Mus musculus: one gene and its partners. The protein of the gene in region 3 binds, or shares a complex with, the protein of the main gene of each other region. Links are inferred from orthologs where the notes say so. Each region holds a gene or a part of one and is shown on either strand. Other genes may lie near its edges.

What was found. Proteins that work in one complex are often made in the same cells at the same time.
Region 1: Actl6b (region 3) and Smarcd2 share a complex: the UniProt entries of both Homo sapiens proteins name them as parts of the BAF complex. The link is inferred for Mus musculus from reciprocal best matches to the Homo sapiens genes ACTL6B and SMARCD2.
Region 2: Actl6b (region 3) and Dpf3 share a complex: the UniProt entries of both Homo sapiens proteins name them as parts of the BAF complex. The link is inferred for Mus musculus from reciprocal best matches to the Homo sapiens genes ACTL6B and DPF3.

What each region holds. Positions count from the first base shown.
Region 1 is NC_000077.6:106,270,173-106,274,134, forward strand, and holds the start of Smarcd2 (SWI/SNF-related matrix-associated actin-dependent regulator of chromatin subfamily D member 2), read right to left. Parts: upstream 2,801-3,962; 5' UTR 2,537-2,800; coding exon 2,321-2,536; coding exon of another isoform or gene 2,261-2,320; intron 1-2,260. Other genes in the region: Tcam1 (testicular cell adhesion molecule 1), read left to right, coding at 3,462-3,479. UniProt on the Homo sapiens protein: Involved in transcriptional activation and repression of select genes by chromatin remodeling (alteration of DNA-nucleosome topology).
Region 2 is NC_000078.6:83,484,937-83,489,039, forward strand, and holds the start of Dpf3 (zinc finger protein DPF3), read right to left. Parts: upstream 2,801-4,103; 5' UTR 2,773-2,800; coding exon 2,741-2,772; intron 1-2,740. UniProt on the Homo sapiens protein: Belongs to the neuron-specific chromatin remodeling complex (nBAF complex).
Region 3 is NC_000071.6:137,552,148-137,556,345, reverse strand, and holds the start of Actl6b (actin-like protein 6B), read right to left. Parts: upstream 2,801-4,198; 5' UTR 2,712-2,800; coding exon 2,687-2,711; exon of another isoform or gene 2,563-2,686; intron 2,283-2,562; coding exon 2,206-2,282; intron 1,834-2,205; coding exon 1,668-1,833; intron 1,351-1,667; coding exon 1,250-1,350; intron 1-1,249. UniProt on the Homo sapiens protein: Involved in transcriptional activation and repression of select genes by chromatin remodeling (alteration of DNA-nucleosome topology).

The DNA.
Region 1 (3,962 bases), on a different chromosome or scaffold from region 3:
AAGTCTGCTCACCCCAAGAACTCTAACCAGGAGCCCCTCTGGCCTCAGATCCCAAGACTTGCTGGAAGTTGGACATGGGAAGAAGCAAGCGGGATCTCCTTCAAACTCAACCAATGCTAACTGGGTTCTCCTTCCCTCCTTTCCCCTGCCTTTCCCTGGAGGAGGAAGAGGAAGAAGAAGAGGAGGAGGAGGAGGAGGAAGAGGAGGAGGAGGAGGAGGGGGAGAGGAAACATAGTTGGTATGGGATGCCCAGATTCAAGGCTATCTCCTTTCTCACAACTAGCAGCCGCAGCCATTTGGCTGGCCAGCCTGGCCTCAGCATAGACCCAAGGCTACTCTACAAAATATGCAGGAATCCATCTTCCAGTCTTCAACAGGGGCTTTCCCAATGGCATGTTCTCTATCAGCTGCTTTCCAAGGAAATGGGTCTACATAGTGAGTTACAGGACAGCCAGGACTATATAGAGAGACTTGGAAAACCAACCAACCAAACAGACATCCCCAGTGCCTGTAGGAAGCTTCCAGACCAGCTCTAAACAAGCAGAGCCAAGGGCTGACGCAGAGACTCATCAGTGATATACTAGGCCCATGAATCTCCAAAGAAAGCCACATGGGAAAGATAAACCCCGCTAGTATCCTTGGAACCACGTCTATCTCTGTTTATACCCAAACTCGTCATTTTCTTTTTAGATAGGAGTTGAAATGAAGGGGGTCACTTATCCCCACTCCGACCCCCAGTTAGGTATCTCCTGGGTATCTGATTCCTGGGCTGGAGAGATGGCTCAGTGATTAAGAGCGCCGACTGCTCTTCCAAAGGTCCCGAGTTCAAATCCCAGCAACCACATGGTGGCTCACAACCATCTGTAACGAAATCCGATGCCCTCTTCTGGTGTGTCTGAAGACAGCCACAGTGTGCTTACATATAATAAATAAATGAATCTTTAAAAAAAAAAAAAGAAATCTGATTCCTGGGTGGAATATGCATACATCATGAAGATCTATTTCTGAGACTTCTACCTAGAGACACCAGCAGGGGACAGAGCAAGCTACAGTGCACACCTCTCACCTCTCTGGCACATAGGTTGAGAGACATATGGCCTTGTCAGGAACCTGAGGGATAAGGAAAGAGAGGTTGGGCGTGATAGTGTGTGACTGTAATGCCAGACACTTGAGAGAAAAGAGTTCAAGGTGGGCTTTGGCTACACAGCCAGCCTGGACTATATGAGACCCTGTATCAAAAAGCAAGTAACAAAAGTGACAAGGATGTGGGAGAAGGATGGGCACAATCCCCAGGAAAGGAGGTGCAGCTCCCTGATACAGCAATCGTCTGCCACGTGCAAAGCCCTGCCTGGATTCCATGCTCAGCACCAAAATGCAAAAGCAAAACAAAATTCCCAAACATTCTGGAGCCACTTGAACCAGAGCTCTGGGGAATGAGGAGCGCCACATGCAGAATCAGGCTGAGTTCCCAATGCACTGACCACGGGTCCTGTCTCTGCTTGTCAATGGCCTTTGATGCTGCAACCTGAGACAGCTCTCTGCCAAGACAGAAGGGTCAGGGCAGTACCCTGTGCAGCCCAAGACCAGCAGGACTCCACAAAGCCTCCCTGCTCCTCCAAACTTTACTGGACACTGGCATCAAGAAGGAAAGCCCCGTACAGAGGATATCTTGAATGGTCTGTTAATGGGATCGGGCCTTCTTCAGACCTGGACACAGCTATTTCTAATCTATCCTGGAGTTATCTGGGCCCAATCTCTTTAGTCTCCCATTTCGTAGGAAGCCTGGCTTCCTTCCTCCTCAACTTGAGCAGCTGGGAGCCATCTCAGACATACTAACGCTCTGCCAGTTCCCAACTAGGAAGAAAAAAAAAAAAAAAAAGAAAGAAAGAAAGCCAAGGCAGAGATGCAGTGGGACCGAGGCCAAAGAAAGAGTAACCCTGTTTTCTCACTAACGACCCTCTTCCAAATTTTCCTCACCACATCCCGGGTCACTCCCTCACCTCCACTCCGGGACCTGTCTTACACTTTCAACCTGATTGCCCACAATTCTCTAGATCTCACGAAGCCTCCATCTCTAAGTTACTCGGAGCCAAGAAGCCCCGGGACTCCTCTAACTGCTCAAGCCCTCCACCGCAGAGGGCTTTCACCCTTTCCCCAACACTGCCTCCAACCCCGAGCCACTAACCAAGGGACTCTGGCCTGCCCGCCACCAGCCCTCGACAGTTCCTCCTGCAGTGTCCCCTGGGCCGCCTGTCCTCACCTGAGGCCCCAGGGAGACCGACACAGCGCCCTCGCGGCGCCGCTCGCCTGCCCTCCTCACCTGGTACTGCGCCGCGGGGCCAGCGGGGCCCATGGGGCGGAAGGCGGCGGCCCCCGGTACCCCCATGCCTCCAGAAGGCCCCGGGCCCCTGAGCGCCGGGCTGGGCAGCATTCCGGGTCCCGCAGGCGGAGGCGGCGCACCAAGGGCCGCGGCAACGGCGCCGCCGCCGGGGCTCAGCGGAGGCAGCGGGAACCCGCCCGCGCCACGGCCGGACATCACTCTGTCCCGTCCCGCGGTGCAGCGATCCGGCCTCCGGTCTCCGTGTTGAGTCCGCTCCGCGAGCTACGTTCCGCGATCCGGGACTTCCCGATTTTACTACCGGGTTCCGGGATCTTCTACTCCAAGTTCGCAAGTTCTTTGCAGCCCGGCTTTAGGATCCCGCGGCCCCTCTGACTCCGCTCCTGCCAGGGATACTCCAGATCCGGGATGTGCCGCGAGCCCGCAGGCCTCTCCCGGCCTCCGGAGGTTTGATCGCCGGAGTCCAGTTACCCAGAGGCGGTTACGAACTCCCAGCCCCGCCCAACCTAGACCCTGCAGGCCCCGCCCCTGCCCGGCAACCCAATCGAGAATGCCTCTTTAAATCCCGCCCTCGCGAGACCCGCCTCAAACCAGCACCTCCCATAACTGACGGCCTTAGAGCCCCGCCCTTGGGGGAGGCGGCCTTTTCCCGGAGGAGCGGGAGCGGAAGCTGCACGCGGAAGCGCGGAGGAGAAAGGCGTGGGGTCAGAGTTCGAAGGTCGCGTAGGGCCGTCCGAACTGTTAGGTGTTTGCTGTTTGCTCCGTAGTGCTGCTGCCTCGGCGAGATCCCCGATATGGCCCATCCAAAACAGTTCCGTCAATTCTGCGTCTTCAAGCCTTAAAAATAAGCGATCCGCGGCGGGAAAGCCGCCAACCACTTTTTAAGAGCCCATCTCGGGGCCGGTGGCATAAGGCACCCCACACCCACCCACCCATCTACCCCCAGAAGCCTGTATTGGTTGCTCCGCGCTTCCAAGGACATGGGCGGCCCCAGACGTGACCCAGCTGAGTGAAAGCTTGGCTTGGCCCAACTCCGAGTACTTAACTGCACTAACTTGCCCGTGCCTTTCTTTAAGGAAGCCTGGTAATTCGCAGAAAATGTTTTTAGGTGAAGGGATTTTGCATGCTGAGAGAACTCCAGGTACTGAAATAAGTTTTATCCAGTTTGTATAGGACTTAGTTTTGAAAAGTTGAGAATCAGCCGGGCGTGGTGGCAAACGCCTTTAATCCCAGCACTTGGGAGGCGGAGGCAGGTGGATTTCTGAGTTCAAGGCCAGCCTGGTCTACAAAGTGAGTTTTAGGACAGTCAGGACTACACAGAGAAACCCCGTCTCGAAAAACCAAAAAAGAAAAGAAAAGTTGAGAACCTTTTCAGAAACCACTGGCTTCGGCTATGTTATAGACCTACCCTCTGTCAATGTGGTATCTCCTACCCACGGTATAGAATAGTGCTACTTAACTAGGCACTGAAAATCCTCAGAATCAGGTTGGGGGTGTAACTCAGGTTATAGCGTGCACAAAGCCCTGGGCTTGAACCCCAGACTGCATCAACTACATGGTGGTGCATCCTCAAAATCCCAGCACACAGGAGGAGGCAGGTGGGCCAGAAGTTCAGGATGGTTCT
Region 2 (4,103 bases), on a different chromosome or scaffold from region 3:
TAAGGCATAGCCCTACACAGGGTGGCATGAAAGAAACCCGAGCTGGCTTCTTCCCAACACCGTAACTACTGCTGCTTATCCCCAGGCCCAAGAGGAAATCTTTGTGTGACCAGTTTCTTCTGTAGGGGGCGTCCGTGATGTTGCCTTTTTAAGACGAGAAAGACTGCTTGCACCCGGAGAAAATGCTAATGCAGTTTGGAGCTCCGGTTCATTGTCAGGAGGGGCACACAAGGATAAACACATAAGCTCTCCAAGCCATTCTCCTCACTCCTCCTCCTCCCTGCCCCCCCCCCATCCATCCCTTCAGCTTGCTGGGTTGCTATGCTTTGTTCTAATTTGGCCCATGCATAATTTATTCACGTGTGTTTTGTTTCCTGATCAGCAACTTCTAGAAACAAATGGCATGTATAAGATGTTTTATTAAACAAGTTGTTTTTATAATAATAATAATAAAGCAGATGGCCTCAGTCTCCCGGTAACGATGTGTGTGCTCCTGCGTGCGGAGTTTTTAAAATGTCCAGGGTGCAAATAGCTTGACCGATTGGGGTTATTATTTACACCCTTAGCCCTCAGGGGAAGAGGACTGGATGCAAAAGGGGGCGGCTAATTATAAGTGACCATTCGACTTCCTCTGAGGAAAGGCAGACAGGGGTGTTGTGTGAGCGTCCGCGTGCGTGAGCCAAGACGGAGTTACAAATGCATCCCACGGCAAGTATTTCCAATTATTAAGGGATACAAGTGTAAATCTGAACTAGTTCTATTAACTGATTGGCCACCTTCTAGCTTCTCTGTTCCTTCTCCCCCACAATTTCTTATACATGCACTCTTCTGTGGAAAAAAAAAAAAAAAGTGGAAAGATCTGGGGGACCCAGGAGTGTGGAGCTCCTGCGCGCGCCCGAGCGTAAGCCCGCTCCCGGGCATCAAGGATGCCGCTTTGCCAATGAAGAACCCTGTACACATAGCAAATAGATCTCTCCGACTTGAGTTTACCAAGCAGCATCAGCTCGGCTACGTGATTTCGGCTGGAAATGAGGAAATTGCAAATCAGCTGTGTGTGGGTTCTGGAGAAACTCCCAGCCCCAGCGGTGTGGCGGCGGGAGTCGGCGAGGAGCGGGGAAGTTACGCCCATTTCTTCTGCCATAAAACAATTTCTCTCTTCGGTGAGACGCTGTCGCGAGTGCAAAGTAGCTGAGCTTCCGAACGAGAACGGGAGCCAGGAACTCGCATCAAGCTCAGCCTCCGTCTTTACAGCAATATCTCATGGAAACTCCAAGATCTGGGACATCCCTGCCCTATTCCTGGTTGTTGGCTGGTGCAAACGCAGCGGGTTCTCCCTACGGGTTTCTTGGCACTAGGAATCCCACGCACACTCTCTCGCCGCCGCCCTGCTGCTCCCCAAAGCGAACGGTGTTTTCGACTCCCATAGCCAGGGACGCTGTAGCGCGCAGCTAAAAGAGCCAAGATCGACCACTGACACACACCGGGAAGAATTGGCACTAAACACCCACGCTCACCCTCCGACTCCCACTGGCTTTCATCAGGGCGGGGAAGTCCTAGTACACCGGGCACCCACTGGGTGCCCACGCCGCGCCGCGATTCCCAAGGATCCACCCTCTGCCAACATGCCTGCCAATAGCGCCCCTTGAGAGCCACACTAGTTTTCCGAGGCCACCCCCGGCTCCGCGATCACCCGCGGACTTGCGGCTTCATATTCAGTCCACCGACTGGAAGAAGGAAGGAAGGAAGGAAGGAAGGAAGGAAGGAAGGAAGGAAGGAAGACCGGCGGGCAGGCAGCTCCGATCGGGAACCGGCCCCCGCGAGTCCTTGCGCAGCCCGCCCCCCTGTGTCCGCTCAAAGTCTCCGGGAGGCACCTGCCCCTCGCTGTCGCCAGAGCCCTCCACCGCCGCCTCCACCGCCTCGGCTTTTCACCCAGAGCAGGCAAGCACACCATTTATAAGACCTGCAGTTTCCCTGCCTCCATATCAACCCCAAGTTAACCCGGATCGTTAATTTACTAGAGCCAGTTAGCCTACAAATACACAGACACACCGGCGACCGCCCGGAGCGCCTGCCTGATCCCCGGCTGCCGGAGTGGAAAAGCCCGGGGCAAGCACCTGGGCCCCAGGACTCCCGGGACCCGCCGCTCCGCGCGCTGTCCTCCCAACTCCGGAAGGTTTACACAAACTCCCTGCGAGAGCTCGGAAGGCAGAGCGAACGCCCTGCAAAACTCCGCAGCCGCTGCGGTCCGTCTGCCCGCCTGGGTGGACGAGCAGCGGGGCCGGGAAGGTTCGGGCTTGGAGTGCAGGGCTCAGCCGAGCGCACGACGCGGTCTCTGCCCCGCGCTCCGGCCAGGCTCAGCCAACCCCGCGCTCTGGCCAGCCTCAGCCAGCTCCGCGCGGCGCCGGGAGAGGCAGGGGACTCCGAGAACCGTGAAGACCCGGGCTGCTCACGACCCCCGCAGCTCCTGAGCCGGCGCCGCCGCTCTGTGTTCCCTCCCGGTCCCGGTCAGCCAATTAAGCAGAACACAAATGTAACAATTTTCTTTTTGTTAATTGCATCTCCTGACATTTCTGCGCGCTGGGAGGAAAAAAAAAGATGAAGAAGTAAGAGCAGGAAGAAAAGAGGAGCCCGGGCGCAGCGGGAGGTGTCTGCGAGAGCCGGGCGCCGGCTGCGCTCCACAAGGCGCCTTTTTTTCATATTGAAACCACGCGGAATATGTACATTTTTTAGTCTTACTTACGCTTTCAGGGGGTTGTGAATGACAGTCGCCATTTTGCTACAATGTAACAGAATATTGTCTGTCTCAGAGTTCTAAAGGTTCGCTCAGGGGAAGCGGCAGGCCAATCAGAGCACGGGATACCGGCCTACCGGCCAATCGGCGCGGCTGGTCGCCAAGTGGGCGGGGCCTGCGTGGTGGTAGTTATTAGGGGAGCTGTCAAAGCCCAGAGGTCACTCCCTTTTGTAGAGCCCGAGAGCGAGCAGGTCTTAAAGGGGCAGTACCGTGTTAGTAGCGCCCTTTTAGATTGGAACTCGTGGAGACAACATGGGAGAGCATTCTCGCTTAGTTGGAGTCCCTACTTTGCTAAATAACTGCAGAGTTTGCGCTCCTGGACAAGAATATTTACATAGTGCCAACAAAACCACTTAACCCCATTCATTAGCTCTGGGCTTTGTAAATCACGGTTTTTAACCCCCGAGCTCCTTGTACACCACCGTGTTGCAGTGCAAAAAGTTGGAAGGCTGCAGTTTCCTCCAAGAAATTACTACTCGTGTTCCACTGTTTGCTAATAATGTTCTGGGTTCCGCGGCTGTTCAATATTCTTGTTCCCGAAGTGTTTTCTTGATCTCAGCCACCTTCCCCGGGCGGTTTCTGAGAACTGGAGAGTCCAGGACAGCAACTCCCTTCCTCCTGGAATGTCTCAGTGTCAGGCTTGCGGACAGCCACGGCTTTTGTTACGTAATTCACGGGTGGTCACTCCGCGCGGTCCCCTACGACCACCGTTCTCCACTGTCAACGATTCACACTGATCTGACATGGCCAGCTTGGGAGCGAAGTGAGACCTGGCGCTTTTTAGGCAGAAGGTTGGGGAAATTTTGAGGCAACTTTAGGAAACGCAGCTAGGGAAGTCAGTAACTATGCAAAAATTGTTAGAGCCTGAGGTAGGTGTTGCCTGAGTCCCCTCTGGGAACGGCTCTGAGAATTCAGGCGTCACCTTTCTGGACTAAGATAGGAGGTGAAAAGAATTTGCAAGTGAATGTTCAGACGTGACTCCTGGCTTCCCCAGTATGCGGCTGCTCAGAATCTGATAAACCCCAGAAGAAACTGAGAGACTTCTGCGAACTCAGACTTCCACGGAGCACAGGGAGACTCGGAGTGGGCGAAAACTCATGAAATCACTTAGAGGGCACAGGCATCGTTAGCTTATAGAAGCCGGGCTATGGCCCCCTTGGCTGTTTAATCAGGTCAAATAGCTGGGGGCTGGGAAGTGAAAAGGAAACCGAGAGATGCTGAATTGCAGTTCACAATTCCACCTGCTCTCGCCTTTTACGACTCTCGATGAATAAAGTAAAATACAATTACAAAGCAGTCCAGAACTTTCAGA
Region 3 (4,198 bases):
CACACAAACAACACACACACATACCAAAAATAATATGTCAGTTTTTCAAATGCAGAGAGCTAGGCAATGGTAACACATGCCTTTGATCCAAGCACTCAGGAGGCAGAGACAGACAGATGTCTGTAAGTTCAAGGCCAGCCTGGTCTACAAAGCTAATCTCAGGACAGCCATGGCTACCCAAAGAAACACTGTCTCAAAAAAAAAAAAAAATCAAACAACAAAGCAAAACAAACAAACACAGAAAGGGGCTGGAGAGATGGCTCAGTGGTTAAGAGTACTCTTTGGTCTTGGCAAGACCCGAGTTCAGTTCCCAGCACCCACAGTGGGTGGCCTCTAGCTCTAGTTCCATGGGCTCTGATGTCCTCTCCTGGTCTCCATGGGCATTGCACATATGTGATGTTTAGAAATATGGATAGGGTGAGATCTGGTGGTGTTCACCAGTCAGCACAGCCCTCAGGAGGATCTCAAGTCTGAGGCCAGCATGAGCTACACAGGGAGAGCTTGTCTCAGAAACAGACAAATGGAGCTGGCAAGAGAACTCAGTAGGTGAAGACATTTGCCACCAAGCAAGACCACCTGAGTTTAATCTCAGAATACACAGGAGAAAGGAGAGAACCTGCAATTTGTCCCTTGCCATATGTGTGTGTGCACACACAAATAAATAAGCAAACAAACAATAAAACGGGCAAACAATATATATATATATATATATCCAAACTGAAATCCTAGCATGAAATGATCCATTTAAATCCTACCCCTAGCAGAGGACCTATTGTTAACTGGTGGCTGCCTCTATGTAGTCACAACTGTCCTGGAACTCACTATGTAGTTGAATATTGATTTAAATTGCTGATCCTTCTGCTTCTACCTCCTGAGTGCTTGGATTACAACTGTAACTTCCCCTCCCCCCTTCAGTAGCGAGGCTTGAACCCAGAACCTTTTGCATGCCAGGCAAGATCTCTCACAACTTAGCTACATTGGTAATATTCATATATATGTATAACATGGACCAAAAAATGTGTGTGTGAACAACGCAGGGCAATGGAGTGGATGGAGCTGGAAGAGAGAAGGCGGGATGGAGGGTAAGCCAGGGAGGAAGGGAGGTGACAGAAGATGACAGTGTGAGCAGGACGAATCTGGAAAGGGAAGGGAAGTGACAGATAGTAGCGACTCCACATTAGAGGTGATGGCAGAAAGGATGTGTCTCCAGGGACTCAGGGCTGGACGTGGGTCTGGATGAGGCACTCACCGGAGCCTCCGACATGAGTACTGGGTGCAGGTTTGGCTCGGACTTGACATGTTTGCTGTAGGTATGATCCAGGATGGCTCGGAAGCACTCCCAGTCCTCAACTAGGGACAGAGGACCAGCGTGGAGAGATAGATGGGAAGGTGGGAAGGAAGGCAAGGATCAGAGACAGGAAGTAAAGGAAGGAGGGAGGCCAAGTCTGAAGGTAGGTGAGTCCAACTTCTGCTTACAAGCACCACCCCCCTTAAGTTCCAGAATTCTAGGGGAACTGGTCTGAAATCCCAGCAGTTGTAGGGAACAGTGAGACCCTTGGGACTTGGGCAGCAGCAAGCAAGGTTCTGTGGGTATGGAGATCGGCAGCCACACACTGGGCGTGGGGCTCCCAGTCTGTTTCAGAAAGTAGTGGGTGAGGGTCCCTTACTCATGCCATTCTTGAGGGGCGACATGACCTCCGCTCCATCCCGAGGCACGTGCAGGGCATTGGTGTCGATGTGGAAAATCTTCCCTTTCTTCTCTTTCTCCCCCTCCAGCTCCAGCCCGCCCCCCTCTTCTGCGGCCAGCAGCCCCACAGTGGTGGGGAAGTCAGCCTGGTTACAAGGAACATGAGCAGGGAGCTAGATTATTCCCTTCTTTTTTGGAGACAGGCTCTCACTGTGAACCTCTGGCTGGCCTGGAACTGTCGCTGTAGACCAGGCTGGACTTGAACTTACAGAGATCTGCATGTCTCTGCGTCCAGAGTGATGGGATTTAAAGGAACGCACTACCCTGCCCAGCTGGATCATCCCTGCTAGTCCCTGGTTCAATTGCACTCAAGGCCCTCAGCCACCCCCGGGGTCCTTCCCCTGTCTCCACTCAGGTGAGCTACTTGAATTGACCTGTGCGCATTTGTTCATAGGCCGACCCGCCTGGCAGAGGGTGTCCGAGCCCCTGGGATTTGGGGAGGGGACTGGAAGGCTCACCTTGGGGCAGTCCTCCCCAGCGTACCCAGCTCGGACTGAGAAAGAGCCAATGTCAAAGACGAGCGCCCCCACCTCATCTGTGCAAGGAGACAGGCTTGTGAGGAGACCTCTCCCAAACTGTCTCCCTATATAGCTTGGAGAGGATTCTGGGGTTATAGCCACAGTTTAAACTTCAGCGGGGAGTGGGTGGGAGATCCACCTGGACTTCAGGGCGTTCTGGAAGTAGAGGGTCAAAGCCACCAGAGTTCCCTCTTGCCTAGCGGCCTGGCAGGGAAAAGAAAGGTCCAGGGCCCGAGAGGCAGTGTACACTTGGGAACCCCAAGAGAATGGAAAGCAGAAGTAGTGGGAGACCCAAACCTCAGACTGGACCTGATGCAGTACGGAGGTGACAGGCCCAGGGATGCTCAGGGCTTGGGACGCGCGGGTTCGGGATGCAGGGCTGTAGACCAGGCCGAGAGCCCAGTGCCCCAGGCCGGCTCACCTCCGCCGTAGACGCCCCCGCTCATAGTGCCCTCTCTACGCTGCTCGCGGCCCGTGGGCGGCGGCGGGATCAGCACCGAGGCGGCCGGACAGCTCCCGGGATCCCGGGCGGGGCGGGGCGCAGCGGCGGCCAATCAGAACACTGGATCCCCTGCCCCCAACGGCGCGGCCGATTGGTTATGAAGCGAGACAATAACCCGGCTGGGGGCCGCTGCTTTAAAGGTACAGCCGCTTCTTCATTCCGAGGTTGGGAGGAGGCGAGGGTCCAATTGCAAAGACTATGGACACAGAGAAAAGAGGAAAGAGATGGAGACGAGGACTCCACAGGGCAACGGATGGAATGGGACCTTCTGATGACATGGGACCCTCGTTTCTTGGTCTTTTTTATTTATTCATATTTTTACGTAGGTGAGGGAGGGGTCTCCTCTCAACCAGAGATGTCCATCCTCAGACTCCTGAGCCAGAGTCTACCGCATTCAGTCTAAATGCAATCACAGAAATGAGGAGATGAGAAGACTGAGGGACCAGAGGAGTATGCCTCTCCATCTCTTCCTGTGTCTTTTTACCTTTGTCTCTGGGCTTATTTATTTATTTATTTATTTGACCAGAATGGTCTCAAACTCAGAGAGATTTCCATGCCGCTGCCTCCAGTACAGCACACGACTAGATTTTCCTTTTTCTTCCTTCCTTCCTTCCTTCCTTCCTTCCTTCCTTCCTTCCTTCCTTCCTTCCTTCTTTCTTTCTTTCTTTTCTTTCTTTTTTTCGAGACAGGGTTTCTCTGTGTAGTCCTGGCTGTCCTGGTAATCACTCTGTAGACTAGGCTGGCCTCGAACTTAGAAATCTGCCTGCCTCTGCCTCCCAAGTGCTGGGACTAAAAGCGTGCGCCACCACTGCCCAGCCCACAACTGGCTTTTCTTTTATTTAAGACAGGGTCTCATGTAGCCCAAACTCAAACTAATATATATATGAGGATGGCTTTGAACTTGTGGTCTCTTTACCTTCACTTCCTGGGTACTAAGATTACAAAGCCTATGCCAACACCCCAGTTTATGAGGGTCAGGGGATGGAACCCAGGCCTTCAGCATGTTAGACATGAACCGCATCTCCAGCCCCTTTCCTTCATCTTTCTGATGGCCATTTTTCCTTCTTGACTTTGTACATAACATATAATAAACATGTGAGTGCTCATGGCTAACATATAGTCACCTGGCTAACCTAGCAAGCCTTCTTTTTTACTATTTCTAAATTTTGAGATTATAATATATATGTATATATACTTAAAGATTTATTTATTTTATGTACACGAGCACACTGTCGCTGTTTGTCTTCGGACACACCAGAAGAGGGCATCGAATCTCATTACAGATGGTTGTGAGCCACCATGTGTTTTGGGAATCGAACCCAAAGCCTCCGGAAGAGAGCAGCCAGTGCTCTTAACCACTGAGCCACCTTTCCAGCCGTGAGATTTCAGGGATGACCGTTTTGTACTGATTTGTTCTTCCCTGGGGAAGAT